Linked DNA regions of Lonchura striata. The protein of the gene in region 2 purifies or fractionates together with the protein of the main gene of each other region. This does not show direct contact. Links are inferred from orthologs where the notes say so. Each region holds a gene or a part of one and is shown on either strand. Other genes may lie near its edges. The genes, in order: POP1, RPP30, RPP25L and RMP64.

What was found.
Region 1: the proteins of RPP30 (region 2) and POP1 purify together in Homo sapiens (affinity purification with mass spectrometry; 5 studies listed by BioGRID and IntAct, counting the BioPlex papers as one, with this or other methods). This does not show direct contact. The link is inferred for Lonchura striata from reciprocal best matches to the Homo sapiens genes RPP30 and POP1.
Region 3: the proteins of RPP30 (region 2) and RPP25L purify together in Homo sapiens (co-immunoprecipitation; 3 studies listed by BioGRID and IntAct, counting the BioPlex papers as one, with this or other methods). This does not show direct contact. The link is inferred for Lonchura striata from reciprocal best matches to the Homo sapiens genes RPP30 and RPP25L.
Region 4: the proteins of RPP30 (region 2) and RMP64 purify together in Homo sapiens (affinity purification with mass spectrometry; 3 studies listed by BioGRID and IntAct, counting the BioPlex papers as one, with this or other methods). This does not show direct contact. The link is inferred for Lonchura striata from reciprocal best matches to the Homo sapiens genes RPP30 and RMP64.

What each region holds. Positions count from the first base shown.
Region 1 is NC_134603.1:22,720,013-22,727,350, forward strand, and holds the start of POP1 (ribonucleases P/MRP protein subunit POP1), read right to left. Parts: upstream 3,013-7,338; 5' UTR 2,909-3,012; coding exon 2,632-2,908; intron 201-2,631; coding exon 24-200; intron 1-23. Other genes in the region: RIDA (2-iminobutanoate/2-iminopropanoate deaminase), read left to right, coding at 3,060-3,121, 7,263-7,338. UniProt on the Homo sapiens protein: Component of ribonuclease P, a ribonucleoprotein complex that generates mature tRNA molecules by cleaving their 5'-ends. Also a component of the MRP ribonuclease complex, which cleaves pre-rRNA sequences.
Region 2 is NC_134609.1:16,214,434-16,222,317, reverse strand, and holds the start of RPP30 (ribonuclease P protein subunit p30), read right to left. Parts: upstream 3,002-7,884; 5' UTR 2,961-3,001; coding exon 2,879-2,960; intron 1,373-2,878; coding exon 1,317-1,372; intron 1,002-1,316; coding exon 945-1,001; intron 302-944; coding exon 227-301; intron 1-226. UniProt on the Homo sapiens protein: Component of ribonuclease P, a ribonucleoprotein complex that generates mature tRNA molecules by cleaving their 5'-ends. Also a component of the MRP ribonuclease complex, which cleaves pre-rRNA sequences.
Region 3 is NC_134642.1:40,931,594-40,939,154, forward strand, and holds RPP25L (ribonuclease P protein subunit p25-like protein), read left to right. Parts: upstream 1-4,744; 5' UTR 4,745-4,803; intron 4,804-4,968; exon of another isoform or gene 4,969-5,056; intron 5,057-5,265; exon of another isoform or gene 5,266-5,544; intron 5,545-5,716; 5' UTR 5,717-5,725; coding exon 5,726-6,274; 3' UTR 6,275-7,060; downstream 7,061-7,561. Other genes in the region: DCTN3 (dynactin subunit 3), read left to right, coding at 220-306, 1,139-1,222, 1,771-1,829, 2,574-2,633, 3,044-3,133. UniProt on the Homo sapiens protein: May be a component of ribonuclease P or MRP.
Region 4 is NC_134604.1:23,965,664-23,972,873, reverse strand, and holds the start of RMP64 (nucleolus and neural progenitor protein), read left to right. Parts: upstream 1-4,204; 5' UTR 4,205-4,219; coding exon 4,220-4,373; intron 4,374-4,543; coding exon 4,544-4,698; intron 4,699-5,465; coding exon 5,466-5,542; intron 5,543-5,650; coding exon 5,651-5,782; intron 5,783-6,099; coding exon 6,100-6,177; intron 6,178-7,027; coding exon 7,028-7,210. Other genes in the region: protein spire homolog 1-like, read right to left, coding at 448-573, 1,322-1,486, 1,938-1,969, 2,755-2,989. UniProt on the Homo sapiens protein: May play a role in cortex development as part of the Notch signaling pathway. Downstream of Notch may repress the expression of proneural genes and inhibit neuronal differentiation thereby maintaining neural progenitors.

The DNA.
Region 1 (7,338 bases), on a different chromosome or scaffold from region 2:
ATGATCTTTTCACATAAACAAACCTGTTATGTATTTTGGCATTTCCTCAGAAACACTTGGGTGTCCTCCTTGCCATCCTCCTCTTCCTCTGCCTCTCTCTCCTCTATTTTGCCCCTTTGAAAAATTTTGGTCTTTCCTGTAAGAAGGCCCAGATGACTGATTTGAAAATTTCTGCTGCTGCTGCTCAGAACGAACATCTCCTGGAAGGTTTAGAGATTAAAAGAGGTTAGAGAAACACAAATTAGTCTGAGTAACTGATAACTCTTATCAGTCTTTCCTCATAAAACTGCACTGCAGACTCCTATTACATTTAATACATGTAACTGAAAAAGCCACCAAAAATCAGAAGAATTACATTCTTTCTTACAGGAATAAATAAGAATTTTATGCTGCCCTCAAGCAAACTTGTGATAGATTAAGTAACTTTTACATGCTCTGAAAATGGCAAGCAATCCAGACTTTGCCTCCAAGAGTCAAATCGAAATCAGTCCATGCAACATCATAGTGACTTTTAATATTGTCTTGTCAGAGCTTTAGTAACAAACCAGCAAAGTTATTTTTTCCACTTTTTTTTTTTCTATAAGCAAATGTATTCTTGCCCGACATATATTTCTTTCACAGCAATAATTAAGGTAAATATGACACGTGTATGTTGGTGCAGTAAGTTGCTTGTCTGGTACAAGCAAACCCATACTGAAATTAAATAACTAAAGCCTGCAGTAAAGCTTTCTAAGGTACAGACATACCTTTCAGGAGTGCTAAGCACCTAGCAAGTACCTAAAGTTTCAGAGAGCCTTGAAGTCCTTATTCAAAGACCACTGTATATTCAGCCTAACAAATATTATATATTAGTTTAGATTACTTTATGTTCAGTTAAGCCCTTGAGATATGGTTCTCAGGCAGTTCATGCTGGACATTCCAACTAAAAAAGCTGCAGACAGCCACTCCTATGACCCCATCCACTACATCAAGACAAGTGCTTGAGAGAACAAGGGGCTACAGCATTCAGGGATCTTCCCTAGTGAAAATCAACCTGTGTGTCCACAGACATGGAAAGAGAGATTAAAAAATCCGGTTTTCAAGTTGATCAGCTTCTTAACCAAGCCTATCCCAAAAATGCTACCATTGGCATGAAGACCAGCCAGGAGCAGACTCACATCCAGCAGCATCTCAATTTATGAGAACTTAAAAAGACAAAGAATCCCCTTTTTCCATTTCAAAGAAGCAAGAAACTGAAGTTTCATGTTCAGCAGCAGTAGTGTTGTAGCCTGCTGCAACCACACATCATGCAGAACTGCAGTAAAACTGCAGAAAAAATAATTTGGTGTAGAAACAGAAATTAGCTTTTATGTGGAACAATTCCCTGACCTGGTTTTCCACATACTTGAGAGCAGCATCATCCAGACACTGAGGTGAAGGTGAGAAGGAAATAGCTGGGAAAGAGGCATGGAAGCTGTCTCAGCAAATCTGTGTAGGGCTACAGCCTAAAATTAACTCATATCACAAACACACCCTCTTAACGGAGGAAGTAAAAATTGTAATCAGAAGACCAAAGACTGTTTGGCAAAACAGTCACTGACTTAATAACTAAAAAACCCTTATATTATCTTAGCTACTGTATAGATCCACAGTTTTGTAACTCCAATTTACATTTTGGACCTCCAATTTTCTCTCCTATTTCTACAAAACAGCTTTGTAAAACTGTGATACTGACACTACAGAAGAACGCTACATGGATGAAAATCCACACCTTATAACATAACAAAAAAACATAACCATGTAATCTTGGAAGTTCCCTGCTACAAATACAGTTAGAAAGACGTATTGATCTGGCAGTACTCCTGCAATGACATTCCAAAATCTTCAGACATAGCTAAGCATAATTTGCTATGTCATTCTGTCTGCATAGGAACTCTTCGGTCACCTAAATACACAGTGATACTTCAGGGTTTTTTTTTCATTCAATGACAAAGATGCAATTTGTCAGCTTCTGAAGGCCTCACAGTAACAAGTCCTTTTATGTGTGGGGCTTTTCCCAGAAATAATGCAGGTAACAAAATATCTAAATATGTAGATGGTGGTGGAAACTGAGGTCCGATAGAAGCATAGAGGATTGCAGGTCAAACCACAAGGACAAAAAGAGCATCTAGCATACAAGCTGACAGGCTCTTTCAGTCTCTTGCTGCAAAGGTTACCTGGACAGGACACTGCTATTATGGGACACGTCCCGCTGCCTCCTGCCAATACCTTCACAGACAGAGGAGCCACAAGGCGCAGGAGGCAAAGGGGCGGGCGTGCAGATGTGAGGAACAGCAGCGCAAGCATCGCAGCACCAGCGATACACGGCCCTCCCGCAGCTCCCCGGCCCCGCGGAAAAGCAGGGGAGACACCGGATGGGCTGTAGCATCCAAATTCATTTTAGACTAAGAACCGTAGGGATTCGTCATGTAATCGAAGGGATGATAGAGAGAAGGGCCTATTCACAGGGTACAGAATAGTTTGGGTTGGAAAGAGCCTCTGGAGACCATCCAGCCCAGCCCCCCCGCCAAGGCAGGGTCACATAGAGCAGGTTACACAGGAACGCGTCCGGGAGGGTTTGGAACGGCTTCAGACAGGCTCCCACAGCCGTACCTGGGGTCGGGCAGGCTCTGCTCCCGCCGCCGGCGAAGGGCCCCGGCTCCGCGGGCAGCGTGACGCTGGCCGGTTGGTTCCTCATCTTCTTGGCTCGCTTCTTCTCCCGCGCCCCAGACATCTCCGGCGGGGTTGCGGAGCCTCTGTAGCGGGAAGAGGCGGGCAGCGGTCGGCGGGCGGTGCAGCCGCGGAGCTCGGCACCAGCCCCGACGCGGCGCTCACTCGCGGCGCGGCCTCCACCGACACACGTGGACACCCACGCCCCGGCACTGCGCATGCGCACTCCTACAGCACAGCCCTGAAGGACTACATTTCCCAGAGGCCCCCGCGGGCGGTGGTGGGCGGGCCGTGCCCCGGCTGGCGCCAAGGGGAGGGAGCGCAGGGGGGCGGCCCCAGCACTTAGTGCAGCTTCAGCGCCGGCTCCAGCCATGGCCTCGCTCGTGAAGAAAATAATCAGCACTACCAAGGCCCCTGCACTGGGTCCCTACAGGTAATGCCTTAGCTAAGAAAGATGTGAGAGTCTTGGTGGATAACAAGTAGACCATGAGCCGGCAGCGCCCTTGCAGCCAATGCTTTCCTGGGGTGCATCAGGAAAAGTGTGGCCAGCAGGTCGAGGGAGGTGATCCTGCCCCTCTGCTCGGCCCTAGTGAAGCCACGTCTGGAGAGCTGTGCCCAGTTCTGGACTCCTCAGTACAAGAAAGACAAGGAGCTACTGGAGAGGGTCAGCGGAGGGGCACAGAGATGATGAGGGGTCTGGAGCATCTGAGGAGACTGGGGGAGCCGGGCCTGTTTAGTCTGGAGAAAAGAAGACTGAGAGAGGATCTTATCAACACTCATAAATACCTCAAAGGCAAGGTGCCGAGAAGATGGTGCCAGACTCTTTTCAGAGGTATCCAGTGACGGGATAAGGAGCAGTGGCCATAAACTAGAACACAAGAAGTTTCAGCCCCACATGAGGAAGAGTTTCTTTATTGAGAGTGGCAGAGATTGGAACAGGCTGCCCAGGGAGGCTGCAGAGTGTCCCTCTCTGGAGACGTTCCAAACCCAGCTGGATGCATTCCTTTGTAACCTGCCTGCCTTGGCGGGGGGCTTGGACTGAATGATCTCCAGAGGACCCTTCCAACCCTAACAATTCTGTGATTTTGGGAGCAGGTTTTGCTGGCAGGGTTTTGGCAGGTCTCTGCAGGTCAGGCAGGCAGGCCTGGGGCTGAGGTGAGAGCAGGACCCCTGAGTGGGGGCCAGTCCTGGCACTCCCTCCCCCAGTAGCCCCCAGGGAACCTGGAGTCCCAAAGCACGAGTGGGGCTGTGCTGCCATGGCAAACTGCAGGCCAATTAGGGGAGGGGGTATAGTTCAAAAAGTTAGTTTAGGGAAAATAATTCTGGAATTAGTGGTAAGGAGTGAATGGGGGAAAAAGAGGAAGAAGAATGATTGTTCTCCAGAAAAAGGTGCTTGGCTAGAGACGAGTGTGTTGTGTAGGGAAGCTGGAAATGCTGACTGCACAGGTGATACAGAGTGAAGGCTGAGCCCAGTCCAGGACAAGCTTGGTTAGATGTATAATTCAATGCCTGGGAATTAAAAATCCTTTCTTATTTTAAATAGTTATGTTTTTCAGTCTAAAAAACTAACTGCTGTAAAAATATGTAAGATGTTCAACATTTTCACAAATATGTTGTTGTAGCAGTTGTATATAGAATTAAAATAAAGAAAAATACCAGTTTTAATTAGATAAAGACTTCTCTGAAATTTGGATGTGAAAAGATGTTCAGTCAGTATAGTAGATTCTCATAGCTAAAGTACTAAAGGGTTATTACCAGGACGTTTTCTAAAAATTTTTAATTCTGTATTCAGGCTTTATGTTCACAATAGCATCTTCGTGCCTTCCAGGTGCATTTTTGTCTCCATTACACTGTGTCCTAAGCTTTCTAAGCTTCAAACTGTGTGTTTCTTACAGGCTTTATAAAGATGGAAAAATACAAGTGTAGAAGCAGAGAGACATGGCATGAAGGTTAACTTCTGTAAACAATAACCTGTTTGTGGATTGCAGCCAGGGGCCTGACGTTGCTTGGCATCAGGAGAACATCTAAGACAGGGGAAGGCAACAATTCTTTGCACACACACACCAGTGTCCCAGCCCTCAACATAGCTTTCCACTCTGAAATGTTGTGCTTATTGGCAGTTTTTGATGAAATGCTGCTTATTGTGTAGCTTGTTAAATGTGTGACAAGTCTAACATCAGTAAGTTTATCAGTAACTTATTTTATCAGATTTTAGTAAACTTGACAAAGTCCAGAGGGCAGAAGTTGCACAAGAAATAACTGCCACATCTCTGCTGTGAGGTCTGAGCTTGGTTATGCAGGGATGAGGGCTTAATGTGGAATGAAGAATTGGGATGAATGAGCTGCATTCCTGGTTCTGCTGCAGCCCTTCAGTATGCTTTTTGGTGACCTATTTTTACTGTATTTTTCTATTTCCTTTACTCCATCCATTTGCCAATACCTTGAGGTAGGTAGATATATAAAAAGAAACATATCTATGTGTGGGTCTATATATCTCATTAACATTATTAACAGGATACTGTTCTTGTATTAATCCACAATAATTTATGTAAAGAAGATCTGATTAAAAAAGAGCATGGTTCCTAACACCATCTCTCTGACAATGTTGTTCTAAGGTCACAGTGTCAGCCCAGTTATGCGTTTAGGTACACTGAAGCCTGAATTACTTTAACACACATTCACATCCCTGCTGATTAATGAGTAGCTACCGTTGGCCCTAGTTATGAGGTGCATCTACAGTTGAAGAATGATTGGGGTTTGTGGAGTTGAAGTTTCCCTTAGCTGCACTCATGCATTTGAGTGCAATGCAAGTCTGTTCCTTGGCTGGTAAATTGTTCCTAGTCTCAGTGAATGGAGGATTCCACTGGTGAGCACACCAAGAGCAGGAAGCTGATCAGACCCAATAAGGCTGCTGCAGATGTTGATCTGGCAGTGGTATCAGAAGGCTTCAGCCCGTTCTTTCCCAAGTTAATAATGATTTAGGACTCTCAGATGACCTCTGAGATAAACATTTCACTGTCATTGTGTTGTACTGCTTATCACAAACCAAATCTCTTTTAGTGGAGAACCCGTACCTTCTTGTTGTACAGCTCTCTGTGCTTCAAACAGAAACAGAAGTTTGTGCTCTGAGGGGCCCCCTCCACAGCAGGAGTGGTAGGAAAGAAAACTAAAGTGTGTACATGCACACATTTCTATCAACAAGACTGTGTCAGCTAGAAAACTATTCAGTGGTTTCTCTTTGTATGGTGTAGTTTTGTGATTTTCTCCAGTTTTGTTAGTTGATGACAGAAAAAATAATCCCCATGTAAGATAGTTTACTATATCTGAGAAGTTGCTGGCTATTTTTTCCCCATATAAAATTACAGGAGAATGTAGGACAGGTGTAAAAGGAAAGATGGGAATGATGGTATTGTTCAAGCTGCCTAACCCTGATTATTTGACTGAGTCCCTAGATTAGGTTTGTCCCCTGTGAGTCCAACTGAGCGAATCTCAGTTGAGAGATGTACTAAAAATATTCTCTGAATGTGCCCCTCTATTTCCATCAACATTAAAGGGAAGAAAACCTCCTATTTCAGATACCTCAGGGAGGTAATTCTAGTTTGTGTAGCTTGAGAGAATTGTTGAATGTTGAAAACAATGCGTTTCCTTGTGGAATGAGAAGAGATAAGAAAAACAGTTCCAAAATAATCTTTCTATAATTTCTTTGCAAAATATTTTTAATTACTGGTTGAAGAGAATTAAATTGTGTCTCTTGTATAATGTTTGCTAGATAGTTTAAATCTTTGTTTTCAACTTTTAAACTCTTTGTAGTAGAGACACTAATACTTGCCAACTCAGCTTCAGCAAAAGCACATTTGACATTTTTATATAAATGTTTTGCAAATAACTTGAAGTTTGCATTCTTCTGAATTAACCCAGCAAAGAAGTCACTCAGGTTATTTGGTGAGAGGAGAATGAGTGTTCTGGGGATGGAGTGGTCAAGGTGTTTTGCTGACTGGCCAAATTCATTACTCCGGAGGAATACTGCCAGAGAACCAGGGTGCAGGTATCACCTCACAGCTGTAACTCATTTTCATAGTGCCTGTTTAACAAGAAATATGTTAAATCTCTTTTTTATTTTCTTTTGGTTTTTTTTTTCCCTCCATTGATCTGCAGCTGAATTTTGGTTGAAAGGTATTGTTTGCTTCTCAAACTAGGATGGAATATTTATCTGGGCAGGTGCAAAAAATGTTTTTATTTACTCTGCCTTCCCTCTGTGCTATCTGTACAGAAGCTGTATATCTGTATGGAACCTGTAGCTCAGTTTAGTGTTGTGTTGCTGCATTCACACCTTGTGCCTTTGCAAAAAACAGGGTTTATCTCCTCAAGGGAAGAGCTATGCACTCCCATAGGTGATATAATCCCAGCTCTTCAAAAGTTTAAGCAAATTGGTGTATGACTGCATGTACAGGCTTGCATGTGCAAAACTCAGTCTGACACATGATAAAGTACTGTAGAAAATTTGAAATGTGCTTTTGGATTTGAAGTGTTTTTGTGGGGAAACATTAGACCTAAAATGCCACTTGTGTTTTCAGCCAAGCCGTGCTGGTGGACCGGACAATGTATATTGCAGGGCAGATAGGGCTGGAACCTTCCACTGGGCAGCTTGTC
Region 2 (7,884 bases):
CCAAGGAACAGAACTGTTGTTCCATACTGAAAATGATCAACAGAAGCCATATACAGTCTTGTAAGCCTGCATCTCCTCATGATCACATTATTTGTTAAAGATGCAATCTCAGAAATCACTGCTGAGTGCCCTATAAATTCCAGGATGTTATCCCCATAGAATTTCCAAAGTTTCATTCATTCATAAAGAAATAGAAGTTGCAAAATTGACTGCTGAGTATACTTACCAAGAGATTACAGTGGGAAGGATCAGAAACAACAAGTGTTAAGCGGGTCAAGACTTTAATTCTTTTAGATGTTCCCTACAGAAAAAAAGGATAATATAAAAAAAAATTAATAATCCAAAGCAAAAATTTGTGGTAATTTCCACCAGTCTGCTATAAAAAGAAAATGGTGTCTTGATATATCTCTTTGATATTATACCTGTCCTTACAAAGAATGACTTACTGTGTTTCTCTGGAGAAGGATAAATAGAAAAGGAAAGAAAAAAGACAAACAACTATGCAGAAAAATTGAGTATGTTTTACTACTGTTGTGATTCCTCAGGCAGGCCACAACAGCAAGTAAAAGCAGTTCCTGAATTAATGAATGTCAGTGATTCAAAACATATTATTGTACTTTTTTATATCCAAATTTTGCTCCATTGAAACCACAAAGTTATTTCCAAAACTTAAATTTCAAGAACTGTACTGTAATTATTCAATTACTAGCAGATTCAAAATTCACACAAAGAAATTTCTTTAATAATTTCTAAAATAATGAATAGAGCTTACCCTGATGTGAGCTAACTATTCTTCCTATGCTTGGAGGTTTAACCATGAAACAATGGACAAATTTTTCTTTTTTGATTAACACCTCATACGCAAAATCACATATACAAACACACAAAGGTAAAAAAGGGTAATTCAGAATAACAGTATATATAGAGAATGCAACTAGACATACTTGTACAATAGGTAAAGATGGAAACAACTCTGAAGGGGATACTGGCTTGATGATTTCCTTGAAAGAGAAGAAAATAAAGTTATTAAAACTGTTATGGGTTAGGTTTACATGTAAACAAAAACTGTGTTCCAATCTTAAGAAATTCACCACACTAAGAAAACTATTTTTGTGGGACAGTACATGAAGCAGATTAAAAATTAATCCAAAGGCAGTTTTACTGCAATATAAAATGGGAGTTTTGTTACAAATACAGAGATTTGTACTTGTGTCTAGATGTGCATTCTGTAGCTAAAGCTATCTGGAAACATGCAGTAACGAAGCAGGTTTACTAAGGAAAAGACAGTAAGACCAAATAACCCCAAGAAAAATTACCTGTTTCTTTTCTTTAAAGTCGATGACATGATTAAGTGCAACTGCAGAATACCCCACTGAAAAACACATAGTAAGAATATTTTGTCAAGTAAACAAAAAGACAATAAATCCAATGAGAAAACCGTAAAATAGTCATTACTTAAATGTCTTAAGGTTAATAACCATGTGCATGTTTAGATTTCACAGTATTTTTTAAAAAGACTGGTTCACCCAAAAAAATACTTTAAAACAGAAAAAAAAAATCTATTTGGTTTTTAGCCTAGTCCAGGCCTTTCTACTCTTACTCAATCGCAGAGCTTTATGAACACAAATACATGGGCTTGGTGTCCCCAAAGGTCTAGCTTAGTTTGGCCCTGTTTATGACTTTCTCTATGGAAAACTGCTAAGTATACTCAGCACAGCTGTTAAAACTGCAGACAACGCAGAGCCGGCAGAGATACAGCTGTCGGAGAAGGCAAAGCGAGCAATTCAAAACGATGCCGACTACACGGAGGAGAAGGTACCGCTCAAAGGGCTCTGAGGAAGAGACGCCAGGGGCGTTTAAACCAGCCGCCCAAACCCCGCACAGGCAGCACGTGGCTGACAACAGCTCTGCAGGGAAAGAGCCGAGCCCTAGAAACTGCAGGCGGAAACACTGGTCCACGTTGGGGAAAAAACAGCTGTTACGCTGGGATACACAGGGAGAGGCAGAGCTGCAAGGCGCATCAGGAGCTTCCCCAGCGACCCCGGCCCAGGCAAACCCCGACCCGGGCAGACCCAGCCCCGGGCAGTCCCAGCCCCGGGCAGACCAGATCCCCGGGCAGACCCGGCCCGGGCAGACCCGGCCCCGGGCAGACCCGGCCCGGGCAGACCCGGCCCGGGCAGACCAGATCCCCGGGCAGACCCGACCCCGGGCAGACCAGATCCCCGGGCAGACCAGATCCCCGGGCAGACCAGATCCCCGGGCAGACCCGGCCCCGGGCAGACCAGATCCCCGGGCAGACCAGATCCCCGGGCAGACCAGATCCCCGGGCAGACCCGGCCCCGGGCAGACCCGGCCCCGGGCAGACCCGGCCCCGGGCAGACCCCGACCCGGGCAGACCCGGCCCCGGGCAGACCCCGACCCGGGCAGACCCCGACCCGGGCAGACCAGATCCCCGGGCAGACCCCGACCCGGGCAGACCCCGACCCGGGCAGACCCTGTCTCGGGCAGACCCCGACCCGGGCAGACCAGATCCCCGGGCAGACCCCGACCCGGGCAGACCCGGCCCCGGGCAGACCCCGGCCCCGGGCAGACCCGGCCCCGGGCAGACCCGGCCCGGGCAGACCCGACCCGGGCAGACCCGGCCCGGGCACTGCGCTGGCAGAGCCGCGGGCGGAGCGCACGGAGCGCAGCGGCGCCGGGGCGGGTGGCGATGCCGGCCTGCCCGGAGGGAAGGGAAGGCTCATCCCGGGGATCTGTGCCCACCCAGCCCGCAGGCTCCGGCTGCGCCTGCCGAGCCGGGGAAGCCGCCGCCGCTCGCGTCCCGCCGCCTCTGGCCGGGGCCGGCCCGCGCTCCCAGCCCAGCCCCACCGGGACTCACGGTGCGCCGCGGCCTCCAGCAGGCTCTGCAGGCACTTCTTGTCCGCTCCCTGCGGCAGGTTCAGGTCGGCGAAGCCGGCCATGCTGGCGGGCGGCGGGCGGGCCCAGCCCGGCGCGGAGCGGCGCACGGCGGCCCCGCCCCTGCCGCCCGCCCGCGGCAGCCTGGGCCCTGTAGTCCCGCTGTGCCGCGCCCCACACAGCCCTGCTGCCTCGCCACGGGACTGCGGTGGGTGGGAAAGGCTGTGGGGTGGTGCCTTAGGCCCTGGAGATCTCCCGTGGTTCGTTCCCAGCAGCGCAGCCGGGCTGTGAGAGACATCACGGCTCTGCATCCCCCGGGCCCGCCGCTCTCCGCCGCCGGCCGAGGCCCGGCGCCCCTGAGGCGCCGGGTGCCCGCCAGGTGGAGCGGTAACCCTGCTCCAGTGCCGGGTTTATCCCCTGTGAAACTGCTTCAGCTCTGTCTGAGCGTTGCCAATAAAAATCATAGCCAATCTTTTCTATGTATAGTTTCATAGCTATTCTCTTTCCTACAAAGCCCCGAGCTGCCATGTCAAAATACCCCTGACGCCGAAGAGGACAGATGAATTCTCACAGACCGATGAATCAGATAAAAGTTCACTGTGTAGCACTGCCACAAAAAGTACTAATATTGTTCTAATGCTGGCAAATGGCACAGAATATGTAAAATACAAATAGAAATTCTCAGTAGGCGGTTTTTGGTGACTTAGAGCAGCCGCTAAAGATAGCAGGTTTGCAATTCCTGTCCAAGTTCAGGTGGCCAGACCAGGGGGTCTTTCCCTTTTTCTGTCCTCAAGTTGAGCTAAATGCTCACCAGGGGACGTCTGTGGAGTATCTGGAGCCCTGAATTCTTAATAAGGTAAAAATGCTTCTAACCAAGGCCAAGGCTGCTGCCAAAGCGTGAACATCCCTCCTTATAGGGTCTGACCTTGATGCAGCTTGTGCAAGCTGTGTCCATGGGAATTGTGGGGACCTGGGATTCATTTCTACCAAAGACATCATGGTTAACAAAGTATGGCTGAGAAACAACAGTGCTTTCTCGGCGTGTTTCTGGACTTCCTGTGTGATGAGTTGCAAATACCTGGGATGATGGTAGCAGAGAAGCTACTTGTGGCTGCAGACACTGGACTAGGAGTTGAAGCAGCTTTGAGGGTCAGCAGAAAGCAGCTCCCACATCTGTATGGCAGGAAAAATCCACATCACTCTGAAAGGGGTAAAAACCCCCAGCTGGTAAGCTGTCATTGTTCATACCACATCTATGGCAACATTGTTTTCTTGACCATATTAGATCAAGATATTTCAGTAAAGAAGCTCTGTTTTAGTCCATCTACATCTGTAAGGTGTTTGCCTGTGACACCACATCAGCCAATACTGCTCCTCTGCCAGCCAACTGAACAAGCAGCACAGCCTGAATGGTATTGCCAAGGTCTTTCTTCAATGTGTGTGAAAACAGAACAGCTCAAGATATTATTCTAGGTTTTCAGTGTTTGATTTGAGTTGATTTGTCTTAATGAATGTAAAAAGCAATCCAGAATCCATTCAGTTATTTCTGAATGGCCCTACTGCAACAGTGTTCAGAAATACCAAAGATTAAGCAGCCTTTGTGTTTGGCAGTATACAAGCAAAAGAAACCCTTCTTTGAGGTTCTTAAAATGGAGGACATTTAAACAGATCTTCATGCAGAAGATCTACAGAACCCTATTTTCTGTAATGGTGTAAGAATCCAAGTACGAAGAACTTTTAGCACCAGGTATCACAAATTGTACTTAGAACAGTGCACAGTCTTATTTTCCATGTTATTATTTAGCTATTACTGCTTTTACATACGTCAGACCCAGTGATTTGGGGAGAATTTCCTTATGGTACTCACTGTTAAGCTGCAAGCTTCTAACATGCTTTGTTTCATTGTTGTCATTAAGTTCTCCTTGGTGAAAACTTATCTCCTCATTCCAAGTGTTTCTTTCTCAATACACTTAGACCTCAAGACTGTCCTTTCAGTAAATTTTAATGCAGAGACCATCACAATTCTTCTAATAGGTTTTCCATGGGCAGCCCCTGGTAGCAACTGTTAGGGTGTTTTTGCTTTAGTTCTGCATTTGGCACTTTTTGGGTGCTAAGATTTTATTTATTACTACCTACCTCAGCAACTATAAGATTTTATTTATTACTATCTACCTCAGTAGCATGAGTGTCACAGCCACTTTCATCATAACCTCATAATCTCCACTGTAAAGATAAGATGGAGTTTTCAGAGTTGGGAGCTCTCATTTTGAGTGATACAGAATTTTAAGCATAAATGTCATCTTAATTGTTCATTTTCTTTTCAGATGCCAGTTTGTCATTGTTAGGATTTGCTGGTTCCAGAAAAGGACAGACATAATTTCATATTTAAGTTGCACAGATGAAAGTATTTATTTTGACAATGGTAAGAAATGGCCAAATACGGGAATAGTTACCTCTCTGTTTTACTGCCACAGAGTGATGATGATTTATCTTCACAAAGACAAGAAAAGGCAGAAAAGTGCAGCTGCAACTATTTTCTAGAAATTAGACAAGTGTTATTTGCTAAACAGTACATGCTGGGAATAAAAATCAAGGTTTCAGTAATACCTCTAGAAAGCAAAGAAAAGGAAAAGAAAAGAAAAGAAAAGAAAAGAAAAGAAAAGAAAAGAAAAGAAAAGAAAAGAAAAGAAAAGAAAAGAAAAGAAAAGAAAAGAAAAGAAAAGAAAAGAAAAGAAAAGAAAAGAAAAGATATGACAGACAAATTAAAACAACAGCTTGAGGAGATAAGCTCTCTCAGGCAAGGAAGGACAAAAGAGGGGATGATAAAAAAGAACAAAAAAAAATTCTGATCTGTTTATTTATTGCATTGCATACTCATGTTACCTTCCTGCCATATGTACAATACTGGATGGTTTAAGAAGGGGAACATAGCAGTACCTCAGCTTTTCCAGCTAAGATGAGCAGAGCTATTGTTTTCTAGAGGCAGCTGCGTGAAGGAAGGTGTTACCATGCTGGGCTGTCAGCGTTTTCTCCTCTGGTGCTGAAGCTCTTGTACTGCATTCCTTGACCCATTTCAGTCAGGATCCTCCACGTTAGCACAGACCTGCTGTCTGTGCTAGCATCAGATCCTCCAGGGAGGGATGAAGGATCCAGGATTTAATGCAAGATTTTTCAACATAAACACTTTGACAGATACAGTCTGGCCCCACTAAATCAAAATGTGTTTGGGAAACTGTATTTCCTTGCCTAGCCCTAATGACCTGTCTTACCTTATCTCACTAACATGGCAGCAAAGAATTGATAGCAATACCCACTGCAATAGTATACACTTAGTATCAATAACAAATGCTGAAGATGTTATGTGATTAGCACTGTTTCTGGAGGAGGGGAAAAATTAAACAGAGGAATTAACTACTTTGGGAGAGGGAAAAATGAAAATAAAAGGTTCTCTTGCATTTTTTTCTTTTTATAATCTGAATATTTTCTACATAGCAATAATAAAATACCAAAGGTGAGATTTGCAAATAAAGTACACTATCAAATATTAACAAAATAGTTTAACTTTACTAAGTGCAGAAAAAAAACTTGGCACAGAATTGGAGGTATATGGAAATATTAAGAGGCTTTTATGCATAGAGAGCCTAAATTACTCATAAGACAGGATTCTACTAAGCTCAACCAGAAAAATGATTTGATTGTATTTTTTGAAGCCTAATGGAAGGTTAAAAAGCAATTTCTTGGGTAGAGAACAAATGTCAGCTTGTTATTCTTGACACCTAATTGGACATTTGTTTCACTTCTGTATTCTATCTGAAACAACATTATTAGAATTTTTAAATATGATCACTGAAAACAAAAGTGGGATGTACCCTTGGAAAGACGAAGTCCCACTTTCATGTGTTGTTATTTTAAGTGCCTAGACTGGATGTCATCTCATGGAATGATGGATTCTCTTTGCCTTTCTGGACACTTGGCCATGTGAAACCCTCTAAACCCTCACGGAAAGCACCTCACTGGATTCAGCCCAGCCTGGGAAACTGGAAGTTATTTTAGGTGTGTCCTAGTAAAAAGCTTTCAAGGAACATATTTTAGTAAGGTGTCAGCTGCTTTGTCTTGGCAGGGTTTTTCACATCTTCTCTGCAGTAGTACATAAATCCCTTTCTATAATGATACATAAATTGACTTAAATTGGTTTGTTTCTTCAAAGGTAAGATTACAACAGCAAATCAAAGAGTGGTAACATGGCCTTTGAGTAGGAAAGAAATCAGGTGATTAACTTGGAATGGACTGTAAGGGAATTTAAGATACAGAACAAAAGATACAATTCAGTCCTACTTTTGGGTTCGAGTGGGTAGGAGTCATCCGTACCCTACCAAATGATCCTGTGTATCATCCACTGAGAACATTTAGAGAATCACGTCCCAGAAGGGTATTGAAAAGCTGTGGAGAAGAATGACTGATTTAATGAACTGTGTTAACTCATTTGCAGGAAGCACCAGATTATAATTTGCTCTGCCTTAGTGACATTTTAAGCAACTGAAAAATTGCTTTTACTAGGAGTATTAAACTGTACAATTTTATCAGCCTTTGTGATAAGAATCTATTTTGAACAAAATTTACTAAGTTCCTAACTCCTTAGCTGTTCTTCAAATGCTATTTTTGAAAAAATATGTTCAACCAATAAGGAAACATTCTCTCTACAAGTTTTGCCTTAATGTTTTAATTTAGATATGTCCTTGCCTTTTCTAAAGGCCTTTTTCTTCCTAATATTTACTTAACTGAGGACAAAAGACTTCATTTATCACCTGGTGGGGTAACTCACCTGAGGCTCAAGGTTGATGAACACATTATGGGTGGTTAGCAGTTATTTTTATTTTGTGATTTCGTTGCTTTTGTCGTGATTTTTGTCGAGCAACTAACAAAGTGTAGGGAAACACTTGACTAAACAAGAAGATGCTTCCAACTTGGTAATGGTCAAAGACCTGCCCA
Region 3 (7,561 bases), on a different chromosome or scaffold from region 2:
CTTATTTCAGTTTGTTTGGCACAGAAATAAATAACTGGGAGAGGTTTATGTGCTTGCAATCTCCAGCTCAGCAGGCAGAGTGGGAAATGGGCGGCTGGAGCCTGTTATTTGCTCAATTTCCATCTGCCCATGTCAGGATCTGCTCTCCATGAAATGCTGCTCTTATGAATGCCATAACATCTCCCTACTTTTCGTCTCCAAACCTATTTATCCCTCCAGTTGAAGATATAATAAAATACCTTGACCCCCAGTACATTGACAGGATGGCTGTTCCAGACACTATGAAGCTGCAGTTCATCTTGGCAGGTATGAGATGAGGGGAAAGAGGAGGCTTTTGTAGCACTGCAAATAAAGCATCCTTTCTCTAAGATGGGTCAGGATGAATTTATTTTCTTCAGTGGTAAAATGTGGCACGGCAGGCCCTGTGGAGGTATCAGAGAGATGGTTTGCACAAGGGTGTCTGTCACCCTCAGTGCTCCCTTGTGCACAGCCACACTGCAGTTTTGTCAGCTCTGATCTCTTCTGTATTGATCATTCAATTTAGCCCCAAATTCATCAAAGGCTGGTAAGAAAAGCGGGAGCTAGGATGATTTCCTTACCCCACTTCAGTATTCTCCAGGCTGGGACAATTGGGTGTGTTTTGACATCCCCTAGCCTTGTCCTCTCTTGACCCAAGGAGTTTGATCAACCCGTGACCAGTATAATCTGTCAGTGGAATTCCACTGAATCACGGAATGTTAAGGGGGTGGAAGGGAACTTAAGGACCATCCAGTCCCAATCCACCTTCCCCAGCTTTCCCAGGTTGCTCAGACTCCATCCAACCTGGCATTGAACACTGCCAGGGATGGAGCATCCACATCCTCCTGGGCACCTTCACAGTAAAGAATCTTCTCCTAATATCCAGCCTAAATTTCCCCTCTTTCCATTTGTACACTCCTTGTCCTATCATTAGAACGTGGTGGAGATTCTCCTGCCTGAAATTGGTGTCAGTCAAGACCCAGGGATGAGCAGCACAAAAGTGATGAAAAATCATGAATCCTTTCTGTAAAGACAGATCAGCTGGGAAAATTACCACTAGTGAAAAGCCAGAGCAGTGTTTTGTGTTTACTGATGTTGCTTCTTGTCCCCACACAACCAGAGGAACAGGCTATTCCTGCCCGTGCAGCCCTTCTGGAGCAAGTGAAGAACCTCCAGCCTATCTTGGACAGCACCAGTATCCAAGGTATGCATGTTCTGCAAGCTGGAGCTGCAAATGCCACCTGCTAAGCTGTGGCCTGTCCTGCTTGCTTTCTTTTCTCTTGAGTCTGAGACTAGAGAAGAAGACAGCTTAGTGGTGTGAAAGTAAACTGAGTACAAAGTTAGTCTGCTCCTGCCACATGCTGCCCTAGTCTCCCTTGCAAAGTCATGGAGGTGATAGAGTAGCTTGTGAAGCAGGCTAAAGAGAGCACTGTGGCAGAGGGGGTGGAGCCTGGCAGGTCATTCCTTCCTGTGAGCTGTTTTACATCCAGAATATCTGTTCTGGCCAGTGGTTTAGTCCCGTGTGTTTCGTGAGTAGCCCTCGCTGTGGGCATCCCTGAGCTTGTGCCATGTGCAGGATAGTTATGTAATTTTTTTTATCCTCTGTGAGTTTTATCTATAGTGTGGGACACTTGCACTCAGCAAGTGGAGTTCTGCCATGCTGTGCTCATGGAGGAAGACTGGGGTTTACGTTGGGAGCTAATCCCATGTGCTGTAAAACAGCCCAAACTGATTTCTCTTTTGTGCTTCCAGCGGTTCCTGACCATGCAGCCAAACTGCAGAGGCTCTCACAGATCCACATACAGCAGCAGGTACCGTGAACATTCCTATAAGTATTGAGTAGAAGGGCCTAGAAACCTTTTACAAGTGGCTGTACTGACACCCAGTATTTGTAATTGCTTGAATTGCTCATTTATGGCAGTTCTTTGCAATCTGAATTTTCATACTACAGTCTTAAAGAAGTTTTAAGTACTCCTAGGGGAAAAAGGAGCCAGGATTTCTGTGAATTTGGTCCAAGTTGGAAATTTGCCCACCATAACCCTGCTCAAAACAGCTTTCAGTGACACATAGTAAGGGACATTTGGTTTAACCATCTTGAATTCCCCCTTTTACTGAGACTCTGAGGTGAAGCATTGCTCTCCTCCAGTGTCCTACTCTCTGGAACGTTGTTGACACTGTCAGCCTGTCCCTTCACCCTTTCCCTCCCTGTATGAGCACTCTTGGAGCTGGCAGTGAGCAGCCTGGGCAGTTCCTAATGGTCTCTTTCAGCATTTTGTTCTGAGTTTCTGTTCCGGGGCAAGCAAAGCCTGGATACTGAGGAAAGGCAAGCAGCAGTGCAAGCCTGGGGGGTTTGCTGCTTCATGGGACCAGTGTTTGTCAGTTTTCTCTTAATTGTGAAAACCTGTCCAGCTGCAGTGGGCACCACAGCCAGGGCCTGAGCACTGATCTCAGTGCTGGCCTTGGATGAGTTTCCTGCCATGCTGTCGTGGACTGGGAAGGGAGGTATGTTGTTCACCTTATTTATTGATCATGCACTGCGGCTCCCCTCTTCACAGGAGAAGCGTCACGATCTCACTGACAGTGTCAAGACACTCCTTGAGGATTACAACAAAATGGTATCCTTTAAAATGCCTGGAACTCCTGAACTGACTCCTTCCCCTGGCTGATCCCATTGCATCTCCAGCCTGGGGTTTAACAGCCTTTCTGATGGGGTGACACCTATGTCACTGTCCTGGCTGCGAAGGATCCCAATGCTGAGGCACATCCCAAAGCCAGAGTGGGTAGGGAAGCTGTGGAAAGCCCTTGCATGGCGGTGGTGTGTGGAGTTCACAAAGTACCTCCTGGACTCCCATGGGTGTATGGTGCTGTGCAGTGGCTCAGCCACTGGGTGGAGTGAATCCATGAAGTGCCTTGGTGCCCTGGGCCTCTCCTAAGGAATCAAAATTGTAATGGTGCTGTCAGGATGCTCTGACCTAGGTTTCTTCCTCACAGTTTCCACATAACTTTCCTTAAGTGTTGTGTCCAGACTTTGCTTCTCTCCAAGCAGTTTGTGCAGTGGAATGAAATCCTGACACGCCTGGAAGTGGCCAAACAAGCAAAACCTGTGGCAGAGTGATGGCAGAGCTGGGAGAGTGGCATGTCCAGAGCCCCTGTGGCACAGCTTGCATCCTGCTGGTCTCAGCTCCTTCCTGCTTGGTGCGAGCATGCTGAAGTGACGCAGCAGGATCCTGGAGCACCCAGCTCTGTGCAGAACTGTGCCAGCCGCCAGTCAAAGCCACACTGCTCCTTAATCTGCCACTGTTTGCAAATCTTTTATTTCTCTGAAATGCATCTCAGTTTTAATGTATTTCAAAACCCCATTTCTGTGCTTACTGTGGGCCATAGTAAAGTCCTGGAATGCTAACTGGGTTGTCTGTCTCTCCCTCAGTGTGAGGACTGCTCCTGGCACAGACTGGGGATATTTCCCCAGGCAGTGATCTCTTTGCAGCCTCCAGGAAACGGCTAGTGGTTCCTTTCAGCCTTGGGCCAAGGGCAGGGAAACCATTTCCACACTCTTCCTGTTTGTGTGAGTTGTCTGCCCAGGAGAATCTGGTCTTAGGGATCTTTTCTGCCTTGCTGTTCTCCTATCTGTGTGCTGAGAGAAGGTAGCAGCTTTTGCCTTTATCCTGCCTCTGCTTTCCTGAGGCTGCTGCAGTCTAAGGCCCGTTCTGGCTCTTTGCCTTTCTAGAGGGAGGCATAGGCCATGCCTTGCCTGGTCTGGCTGTAGCATGGAGTTTCCAAGGCCATACTTTTGCAAGGGTCTCAAACCCTTCAGGTCGGTGAAACACTGCCCAGCTGAGTGTGACCCTGGGAGTCCTGCAGGAACGGGCAGAATGCCCACAGGAATTCCAGAAGAGCTCGCCGGTCCCAGAGCTGTTTCTGATCAGCAGCCTCGCTGGCTGTCAAACCACGGTGGGGCTGCAGGCCTGCGGAAAAGCCCCGCTCCCTGCAGCTGCCCGAGGAGCTGAGGTGAGGGTCAGGGTTAGGGTCGGGGTTAGGGTCGGGGTTGGGGTTAGGTTGAGGGTTAGGGTCAGGGTTAGGGTTGAGGTTTAGGGTCAGGGTGAGGGTTAGGGTCGGGGTTAGGGTTGAGGTTAGGGTGAGGGTTAGGGTCAGGGTTAGGGTGAGGTTTAGGGTCAGGGCTAGGGTCAGGGTGAGGGTTAGGGTCAGGGTTAGGATCGGGGTGAGGGTGAGGGTTAGGGTCAAGGTTAGGGTGAGGTTTAGGGCCAGGGCTAAGGTCAGGGTTTAGGGTCAGGGTCAGCGTTAGGGTTGGGGTGAGGGTTAGGGTTAGGGTTGAGGTTAGGGTGAGGTTGAGGTTTAGGGTGAGGGTTAGGGTTAGGGTGAGGTTTAGGGTCAGGGTTAGGTTCAGGGTCAGAGTTAGGGTTAGGGTTGAGGTTAGGGTGAGCTTGAGGTTTAGGGTCAGGGTTAGGGTGAGGTTTAGGGTCAGGGTCAGAGTTAGGGTTGGGGTTAGGGTTGGGGTGAGGGTTAGGGTCAGGGTTGGGGTTAGGGTTAGGGTCAGGGTTAGGGTGAGGTTTAGGGTCAGGGTCAGGGTTATGGAGAGGTTTAGGGTCAGGGTTTAGGGTTAGGTTTGGGGACGCCGTGCCGCGCGGGGCCCGCAGCTCGCCCCGCCCCCGCTGTCACCGCCGTGCGATTGGCGCGCGCCTCCTTCGGGCCCCGCCCGCCTCGCGCGTGCGCGCGCCCGGCGCCGGCCGCCATCTTGTGTCGAGGCGCGCGCTGCGGCGGCCGCAGGTGAGCGCGGGCTCCGCGCGCCCGTCCGGGACCTCCCTGGCTCCCACCGGCATTCCCGCATCCCGCCGCGCTCTCCGGCTCCCCCCGGCGCCCCCCGGCGCTCTCCGGCTCCCCCCGGCGCCCCGGGCTCCGATGGCGGCGGCGGCCGCGTGAGGGCCCGGGCCTCGTGTGCTCCCAGGGTTCGGAGCGTGTGCCGAGGAGGACGCGGTGCGGGGTGCAGGGTCTGGGCGCAGCGGGACTCAGGAGCCTGCGGGTAACAAAGTACTGCGACCTTCAGCCCCTTGAGCTGTGCGGTGGGGACGTGGGCTGCCCTGCACAGGGTCAAGCAGACCTAGGACAGGATGGCACCTGCCTTGGCACAGACGGCAGCTGCGAGGCCTGGCCTTTCTGTCCTTCCCTCGAGGAAATGTTTTTTTATTCCTGCAACCCCTGGCTTGCCATCTCCCTTGTGACATGCAGTGTTTTAGCCTCAGCTAGGCTGGTCAGGTCTCCATGAGCCTGTATTTGTACACGACTTGCTGCATGTAAATTGTGCTTGAATTTGTCCTGTGCATGTTCTGGTGTGGCAAGCATCCCCGAGTTCTGTTCTCAGTCACCCCAGCTCACTTTTTGTTCTGTCTTCTCTTGAGATACAGCAGTGTTTTCATGTCACCATGGTTAAGCCCACAACACTAACACTTGCTTTTTTCACAGCCTGCTTGCCAAAACTCAGGCTGCCCTGTGGTATCATTCATATTGTAAGTATGTCCTTAAGAGGACTGGGCTAATATTTTGGTTGTCCCTTTCCAGGATTTCCCAACCCTGATAGTTCAGAGTGCCCTTCAGAGAAAAGCTTGTGGCTAAATGTGGTGAGAGTTTCTTTGGGCAGCAATTAGAGTGGGCAGTGTGTTCATGGGTCTGTTTTCCTTTTCAGCATTGCAGAATGGAGAACTATAAGAAGACCAAAATTGTGGAGAAACCTTGTCCTCCTCCTTTCACTGACCTGCCTGCTGATATTATTGAAATGAAGGTGAAGGACGGGAGCAAAATTAGGAATCTGATGGGCTATGCCATGAGCAAGATGGAGCAGGACTCAGTGAGGCAGATTCTTTTCACTGGCTCAGGCAAGGCTGTTAGCAAGACCATTACCTGTGTGGAAATCATGAAACGAAGGCTCAAGGAGCTGCACCAGATCACCAAAGTGCTCTTCAAACAGATTGAAGAAATCTGGGAACCCATTGTGCCTGAGGCAGGCCTCGATGCCTTGACAGTGAAGAGAAACATTCCTGCCATATGTGTCCTGCTGAGCAAAGATGCCCTGGATCCTCAGGAGTCAGGATACCAGGCCCCAGGATCTTTTGATGCCTTCTGGACTGAGACACTGAAAGCAGAATCACAGGGCCAGATGAAGAGGAAGCAGGGTGGAGGCCGGGGAGCTGCCAGCACAGGGAAGCACCCTCGCTCCACCAGGGGAATGCCGTGGGGGCCCTGAGGCGGCAGATCCGCACGTGGTTCAGGGGAGCTGCAGAAACCAGCCCGGGGCTGTGGCTGCACGGCTGCTGCTGAACACAGGGGTTCACAGAGGTGTGAGGGGAGGGCAGGAGGAGCAGACTGTTAAACTGGGTGTGATGATAGCTGTCTGAAAATGTGTTTTGACAAGTTCCCTTGCCAGGGGCTGCCAGGCTGTACTCCTTAGGGGATCGTGGAAGATGGGAATTGCCTCTTCTTGAGCAAGAACAGTTGGTGTGCTGTCAGTGAGCCCCAGAGAAGCACTGCTAACCCAGTGGGGTTTCAGGTGCTTGGGTGTGCAGCAGCCCAGGCAGCGGGACAGACACCTGTCTGTGTGCCAGGTGCAGGTTGCTCTGACCAGTACAGAGGGGAGACAGGACCTGATCTGGAATCCTCAGGCAGCTGCCTGCATCACCTGGGCTCATGAAGTGTACAGACAGCAGGGCACAGGGCTGGGCCAGCCATTTCTGTGCCTGAAGAATCCTTCTGCTGAGCCTGTTGAGGGGGTTGAATGTAGGAGTGCCAGGATACAGCTCTGGCATCATGTGCATGTAGCTCCTTGGCTCAGCAGAGCTGGCGGTCCTGGTTCTCTCCAAACAGGCAGCAGTCAACTCACGCTGTAGCCAGCCTGAAATCTTGTGGCTCTGCAGCTGTCCTGGGGTGGTGGTAATAGGAAGCTCCAAAGGATCCTGTTCTTTCCCCTTTCTGCTCCTTGAAAATGCGCAAAGATGGCTTTAAAATAAAGATGTAACTTCATGTAACTTGGAAATTTGTCATGTCTTACTGATCCCACTGGAGGTCACCCTGTAAGCATTGGTGGTGGAGTTGTGGCTGCTGGCTGAAGCTCTACTCTTCCAGCCTTCCTGCTGCTCTGTGTTTGTTCCTCTCATGACTGTATATGGACCCTGATCCAAGGGGAGGTTAATAACCTCCTTTCACATCCAAAATAGATCAAGGTTCTGGTGTTTTCCTCTGAAGTTTTTTGCTAATTGTTTTTCTCTGCTTTAAAATGGCTGGAACTGCAGCCTCAAAAAGACTCGTCCGGAACTCTGCTGAGTGATGCAAAGGATGTATCGTCTTTTCTTGTGCACTAGTTTCCCTTCTGGAACAGGTCTGGTGAGTGATTCTGGGCCAGAGAGAAAGGCTATTCCTGTGACGGGCTGAGCTCCTGCCTCAAGAGAGCTCACTCCTGTCCTGAGCACTCCCTGTCCTTCCCGTGTGCTTGTGCAGGGAGCTCCAGCTGGACCCACGCTCTGTGCTGTCAGTTAAA
Region 4 (7,210 bases), on a different chromosome or scaffold from region 2:
CTGCTCTTGGGGAAAGAGGTTTATTGGGGGTGCAGGAAGGTCCTGCCTCGTGCTCCCAGACGCAGCACGTGGCTGGGCCTGAGGGGGGGGGAGGGGAGAGACAAAAGGAGGGGTTAGGAGAGGGGAAGCCCCAGGAGGGGAGGAGGTTCCAAGAGGGGAGGAAGTTCCAAGAGCCCACATGGTCCCTCAAAGCCTCCTTATAAAGGGGCTTCAAGGTGGGTTGGAATAAGGCATGGCCAACGGGGTTACAGACACTTGATGTTTTAGAAGAGGGATAGAGGTGCGGGGTGAACTATACATGTTTTGGGGGGTGGGATGGAACAGTCCATTTCACCCCAGGACCCATCCAAAGGCAGGGGTGTCATCCGGCTAGCTGGGAGAACTGTTCTCATCCTAGCTGTATTATTTATGAACAATCATATTTATCTATCATCCACAACAACATACCTCTTTGGAGGTCTGGATGAAGGTCACAAGCTCCTGTAGTTCCATATATTCAATAAACAGATTCCTACAAGTCATTTCATAATGGCTGGTAGCCTCAGAAGGCTTGGACAAGTGCTCCTCACAGGCCTGAAAGAAGTGAAGCTATTTAAAAAAGATCTTGAAATTTAAAAAAAACCCAACATGGTAGGATGGAATAAAGATTCTGTTTCCTCAATCCATGGTTAAAAATCATCTTCTTCACTTACATTGTTTTTCTATTGCAGATACAAAAGAACAAAGAAGGAAGATATCCAATCTTTTACGTACAATAATGGATGTAGGTGTGTAATTTGTTTATCTTGTTTTCCATAAAGTGTGCTTTTAAACAAGCACTCGAAAGGGGAAGCTTCCAGTTCAAAGAACAACAACCCACAGCAGATGGAGTCACTTGCCCTGTTCTTTTTCCCTGCCCTGATCAGACAGAGGGATGGGAATTTTCTCATACCTTTAAATTATGGCTGAGAGGAAAATATCTGTTTGATTTGAGACATTCAAATCCCAACCTTTACAAAAGCCAAATACTATAGAAAGGGAGGTTTTTTAATATCCACAGTGTTCTAGGTAATGAATTTGGAAACTGTGTACAGAAGGACTTTGTATACACAATTGTGGGAGAGCCATACTCAGTCTTCCTTCTTAATTATTTTCCATGGGCACTTACAAACATCTTAAATAGTTTTGCTTTTTCCCTCTGATGGAAAAGCCAATGTTCCCTCTCTGTCCTCCAAACAGGCCACCCAGCTTTCTCTCAGAAATGGTCTTGCCTCTTGGTCAACAGCGCTATTCCATCAACTCCTCTAAAGCTGCTATATTTACTAAGAGGGAACAAGGAAACCTTGATAACATCCTGCAGGGCGACTGGTGGTTTTGTTGCCTTGTCATCCAGCTTCAACATGAGCCACAGCAGTTTCTCCAAAGGATCACTCAGCTCTCGCTCCATTTGGCTGTTGATTCCCCAGTCCAGGGCTTCATAGATCACCCTTCCCAGGTACTCCAACAGCTACAGACAGAGACCAAGGAAGCAATACAGCACAAAGTGTTGTGGAGAACATCACAGCTCTTACTTTCCAGCCATGTGTGCATAGTCCTCTGCTCCTGAGGACTGAGAACATCTCTCACGATGAGAAATACCCGCCCCTGCTCCCACTTAAGCTGGTTTAAAGCTTTTAAATGGCCTTAACTGGTACCTCTAAGATATCTGTCATTAGGACAACAAGAGTGTGGCCTATGCCACAGTAGACAGCATCTGTGCACACTGTTTCCCAGTCCCATTGTCTTACTTGAGTTCAGTCCAAGCACTTTGTTTCCTGTTCCAGATTGCAGAGGAGTCACTCTCACAGTAAATTCAAGCACCTTGATACTTTCACAAGACATCTGCATCTCCTGAGCAGGCTTTCTACTACAACAGGATTGTACCTGCACACACAATGAAGGTAGAGACACAGGCTTACCTTGTCCTCTGACTGCTGAATGCTGCCAACATCTGAAAGAGAAAAATGAGGATAAGGGGAGAAAGACAGCTGTACAGGCATTGGCAGCCAGCTTTTAGAACCCTTTTCAAGAGAGGGAAAGAGTAAACATTGTTTTTATTAAGGTAACTAACTCCTCTGACTAAAGTCAGTCCTACCTGGGGAAAGTAGGCCTGTATTTGGGGAGTCCTGGAAAACACTATAGGAGACTCATGCTATTGTGAGCATTAGCCAAAGTAACAGCTACTGCATTTTGTTGTTTGCTAATTGATATCCAACCTCCAGGGGAGACACAGGATTTTTGTCTTCTTTACTACCCACTCTAGTCCATGAAGAGTTAGCCTAGCACTGACCTCTGCTGCAGCCCAGCCCAGCCCTACATAACACAGTTATTACCACTTGCTGGGTTACACATAGTGACCAAAAAAGGGAAAGTACCAATCAAGAGTTATCATAACAAAAGAACCATACACTGGAAGATGAATAGAGCAGTACATATAACAAAGCCTCAGACTATTTATTTCAAATAACATTAAGTAGTAGAAGGCTTTCATCACACCTATTCCCTAGAACCAAATGATTCAACAGAGCACTATTAGAGAATTTAGTAGGTCATACATCTGTATTATCACTCATCTACAGTCCTCTGAAATGAAGTACAGGCAGGAGAATAGCTTCATGACAACATACCCAGAAGAGAGGGGGAAAGAAAACCAAAAAAGGCAGAGGAAATGAAATTTCCTCTACTTTGTCCTCACATTTCAGAACCCTTGGCATCTGCGGGTACCTATGCTCTTACCAGACTTGTGGTAGACCTTGAAGGAAGCAGTACCATCAGCATGGATAAAGATGCTCTCAGAACCCTTTATGAACACAGAACAGAGAGGTGGGCTGTGGGCCAGCTGCTCTATTTTCCTGCAACACTGGAAGCAGATAGCCCAGGCTTGCTCCTCACTTAAAGCACGTTCAAAACACCTCAGAAGCTCAGCTACAGAGACCTTTGTGATCCTCTGCTCACAGCCTGGAGGCTCCATTTTTCCTTTCACCTCTAACCTCCACTTTTAGCCTAGGGAGCTTAAAACTTCCTTTTCCAGACTGGGCAAGTTTTCACAGCAGCTTTTTATCAGTACTAGCTCTTGATTTGCTCTTATCTCTCTTACCTACAGGTGCAACCAATTATGCCAATTTTTGCTCTTTTTAAAGGCACATGACTTGATTTGTATTTGTAAGAGATTTCTTAAAAGAACAGAGTAAGTATACAACAAAATGGAATCCAAAGAAGGTAAGCGTGTACAAAAATTGTGCTCCATTTAACTAGTTCCTAAAAATTATATTAATTATACCAATATTTTCAAGTAGAAAAAGAGTACATTCAACTTCAGGCAGGGGAGGAAAGAGGCAGGAAGTGTCTTGTAGTTGAGGGAGGAGAACTCAGAACACCACAAAAATTATTTTGATAGGAAACTATTCCAATAGCACTAATAAATTACAGCAATCAACTCCTTGGGGCATCTGCAGTGGGCCCCAAGGAGCAAGTGGGCCCCTCGCACAGCAAATTCCAACAGCAGGGGCTGTGCGCGTGGAGCGATTGGGATGGCCAGGAGGGTACCCGGGGCACGGGCAGCAAGGCCCTTCCTTGCCCAAGAATGCCGATATCCCAGAATCACAGGATCAGCTGGGTGGGAAAAGATCTCTGAGATTACTGAGTCCAACCTGTGACAAACACCAGTGTCAGCTACACCCTGGCACTGAGCGCCATGTCCACTCTTTCCTTAAACACCCCCGAGGACAGTGACCCCGTCACCTCCCTGGGCAGTCCATTCAGTGTCTGATCCCCCTTTCTGTGAATACACTCTTCATTGTGTCCAACCTGAACCCTCCCCGGTGCATCTTCAGACTCTTATCGTCTGGTCTGGATGTGAATGGCTCCAGGTGTGAAGCCGATCCCGCGGCTTTTTCAGCGCTTTGAGGGCTGTGTGTGACATGGAGGGCACAGCTGAGGGCTGGGGACTGGAGTCATCCCCAGAACACCCCTGCACCATCCACTGCTGCTGCTGCGCTGGCTCACCACGGCCACAGCTCCCGAGGCGCACAGTGGAGAACTGCGAGGCTCGAAGTGTAAATAACACTCATTATTTATAGTTATTTCCCTTCTCGCTTACGGCATTTGGGGCTGCAACGCGTCAGCGCCAGGCCCCGGGCCATGGCGCACCCCCGCGGGGTGACTTGGTCCGGCCCGCGACTCTCCCCGCCGGCCCACCCGGATGGTGCTGGCCACGCTGGGGCTCGCCGCGCGCAGCGGGAAGATGGCGGCGCCCAGGGCGGCGTGGGACGGGCGGGACGTGCCCTGGAACCGGCTGGACGTGCCCTGGCCCGCCAACAGCGCCACGGTGCCGCTGGCGGCCCAGCACCCCACAGGTCCCGGCGCGGTGCCGAGGGGTTGGGGGGTGTTTGAAGCCGTTCCCGAGTGTTTACGGTGGGTGGTCGGTCGGTGGGAGCCGGAGGAGTGGCCGGAGCGGCGGCGGGCGCCGAGGCGGCGCTCGGTGCCGGTGCCCGGCGCTGAGGGGGTGCCCGGGTCTCGCCCGCAGTGAGGTTGCTGTCGACGCTGCGGCGGCGGTGCGGCATCGCCGGGAAGCGGCTGTCGGGGCCGGGCCCGGCCGCCGAGGGCCGCGTGCTGCGCGCCGTGCTCTACGTGTACCACAGCAGGCTGCTCCGGCACCGGCCCTACCTGGCCCTGCGGCAGGTGAGCACCAGCCCCGCCTGGGCGGCAGGGACCCGGCAGCTGGGTACTCCCGGCCCCCAGAAAAATCCTGTGGAGTAGCACTTTGTGCTCAGAGCATCGTGCCAAAAAAAAGTTTGGGAGCGGGTGCATTTTTGTTCTCTCACGGTTGAGCCCAGTGGGTTTCTTGGCCCTGTGCAGCAAGTGCAACTTCAGTTTTCCAGCCCTGGTCTCCGATACTCACGTTGAGACCCAAAATAGGTACAATTCTATACCTTTGTGTACATGAACAATACAGGGATATAATTCTCATATAATTATAATAATGGGAGGGAGGAATAATAATCCTGTCCTACTTATTAGATACTTTCTGTTTTAAGATGAAAAATGAAGACCTTGTCAGTTTTCCAGGAAAGGGGTTATCAGCATCTTCAAAGAACTGTTTTGAATTGGAGCAGGAATGGTGCTTACCTTCTTGATTTGCTTATGTGTTTTTTTTCTTGACATCCAGTAGTATAGGCCCTTGTATACAGCAGGGAAATCATACAGCACCAATTAAACATGGCCTACTCCAGTCCTTCACTTAATTCTATATTTACAGTAGAGCAATGAAGGAATGTTTTTCATCGTAGTGCAGATACAGAAAGGTCCCAGAACATGCCATTACACAAACCTGCAGTGTAGGCTGTTTAACTGATAAGGAGAAGGTGTCATTTAATATAGTGACAGTTCTTAGACCAGGGCACTCAGTCTCTCAAAATACCAGTCAAAGGAATTTGCTTTTCTCCTAGGTAGAGCAATGTTTGAAGCGCCTATGGAAAATGAATCTGGTGGGCTGCCTGGAAACTCTGGTAAAACTGATTCCCAAGTAAGTGTCATGATCCCATATCTTGTACTATCCATTAACTCAAATCTGCAGAACTAAAGGAAGAGGATACTAGATCATAACCAACTCTTCATCCTTGTCTCAACACAGGAAAAATGCATCCAAAGCCCACACAGAGTGCTTAGTTCCCAGCCAGCCTATGCTGGAAACTGTGGCTCTGAAGGTATTGGGAGGCTGCAAGCTCATACTACGTCTGCTGGATTGTTGCTGTAAAGCTTTTCTGTATCCTTTCTTCACCACAAAAACATGATCTTAGAGTTCACCAGTAGCACCTCATATAGGCCCTGTATTGCTGATGGACTCAACTGTGCAATTCATATGTGGAACTTTAAGTTCCTTTGACAGCCAAAGACCTTCTTTTCAAATTATTATGTAGGGACCTCAAGCTGTTTGGCTAGCAGCTATTCTGACCTTCAGCAATCCAAAATTTGGATACTCATCTCCCAGATTATTCCTTGTGAGTTACCTCTCGTTGGTGTGTTCAGCAAGTCTCATTACATGCTGTTTATTTTTTTCACCTTAACTGCTGTGATCTTCAGCTTGTCCATTAAACATCTCTGCTCGAGGGAATTCATACTCCTGAATACTGTGGCTTTGGGGCTCCTGAGCCGGCTCTGGTTTGTGTGTTCAAAAGTCTGTCTTAATTGTGTCTGTTTGATGTGCCTGTCAGGGAGAAGGGCTTGTAATTAGGCCTGGCTGCTAAGGGAGTTTTATTCAGTTGGGAGTAGGAGAAGAGAGGTCACTCCATTCCTCTGGACTCGATTTTAGCACCTGCAAAGCTGTACAGGTGGAGAGAGACTTCTTACATGCTGTTATGGATGGCTTTGTTCTTAGATCTTAGCAAACTGTATGTAGCTTTAATGAAATCACAGTGTTAGTGTCAACCTGCCACAAACACCAGGTACTCTGTGCAGTAAGGAGTAAGTCCTGCCTCATGGGGAAATGGAAAGGCTGGGTTAAACATGTTCTATTATACCACTGAGTTTTCTAGGGAAATTGATGTTTTGGTCTCTCTCCATCTGGGAGAATAACTGCTGTCTGTAGCTGAAGGAGTAACAACATTGTTAGAACAACTTGCAACTTTCTGTGGCACAAGAAATCTTCTAACTCCAGGAAACAAAGAGCAGACAGTTGTATGGTGTCAGGGCTGCGTTGGTGCTGGGTGTGAAGACCTCATGGCACCTTGGATGTGACCCAAGAACCTGATGGGTCCCAAGTGTGACACTCAGCAAAACTCTACAGAAACGGAGGGGCTTCTTGATCAGGAATTTACAAGTCACTCCTGTATTCTGGTGTGGAACAGTTCCTTGAAGTTCAGACTTAAGGAAAGCAGGGTGATGGAGTGTAAAAAGGTAAATTTGTACTGAGTGGAAACAGGGAAAACAACAGTTGAGTTGAAGGTAGTTGTTCAGTGAGCATCATGTTTTGCTGGAGGAGACTCCATTCCTTTTTGTCCTCTGTCTACAGGATTCAGTACAGGTGTGTATTGCAGACCCTCGTGTCCCTGTACAGTGCCTTGTCAACAATGCTTCATCTGGTATCTGAGACCCAACAGACCCCTTATATCAAGGGGTTTACCTTCCCTTCTGATATCAGTGACTTCCTTGGGGTTAACATATCTTCTGAGGCAAAGAAGCAAAAGGCTAAAAT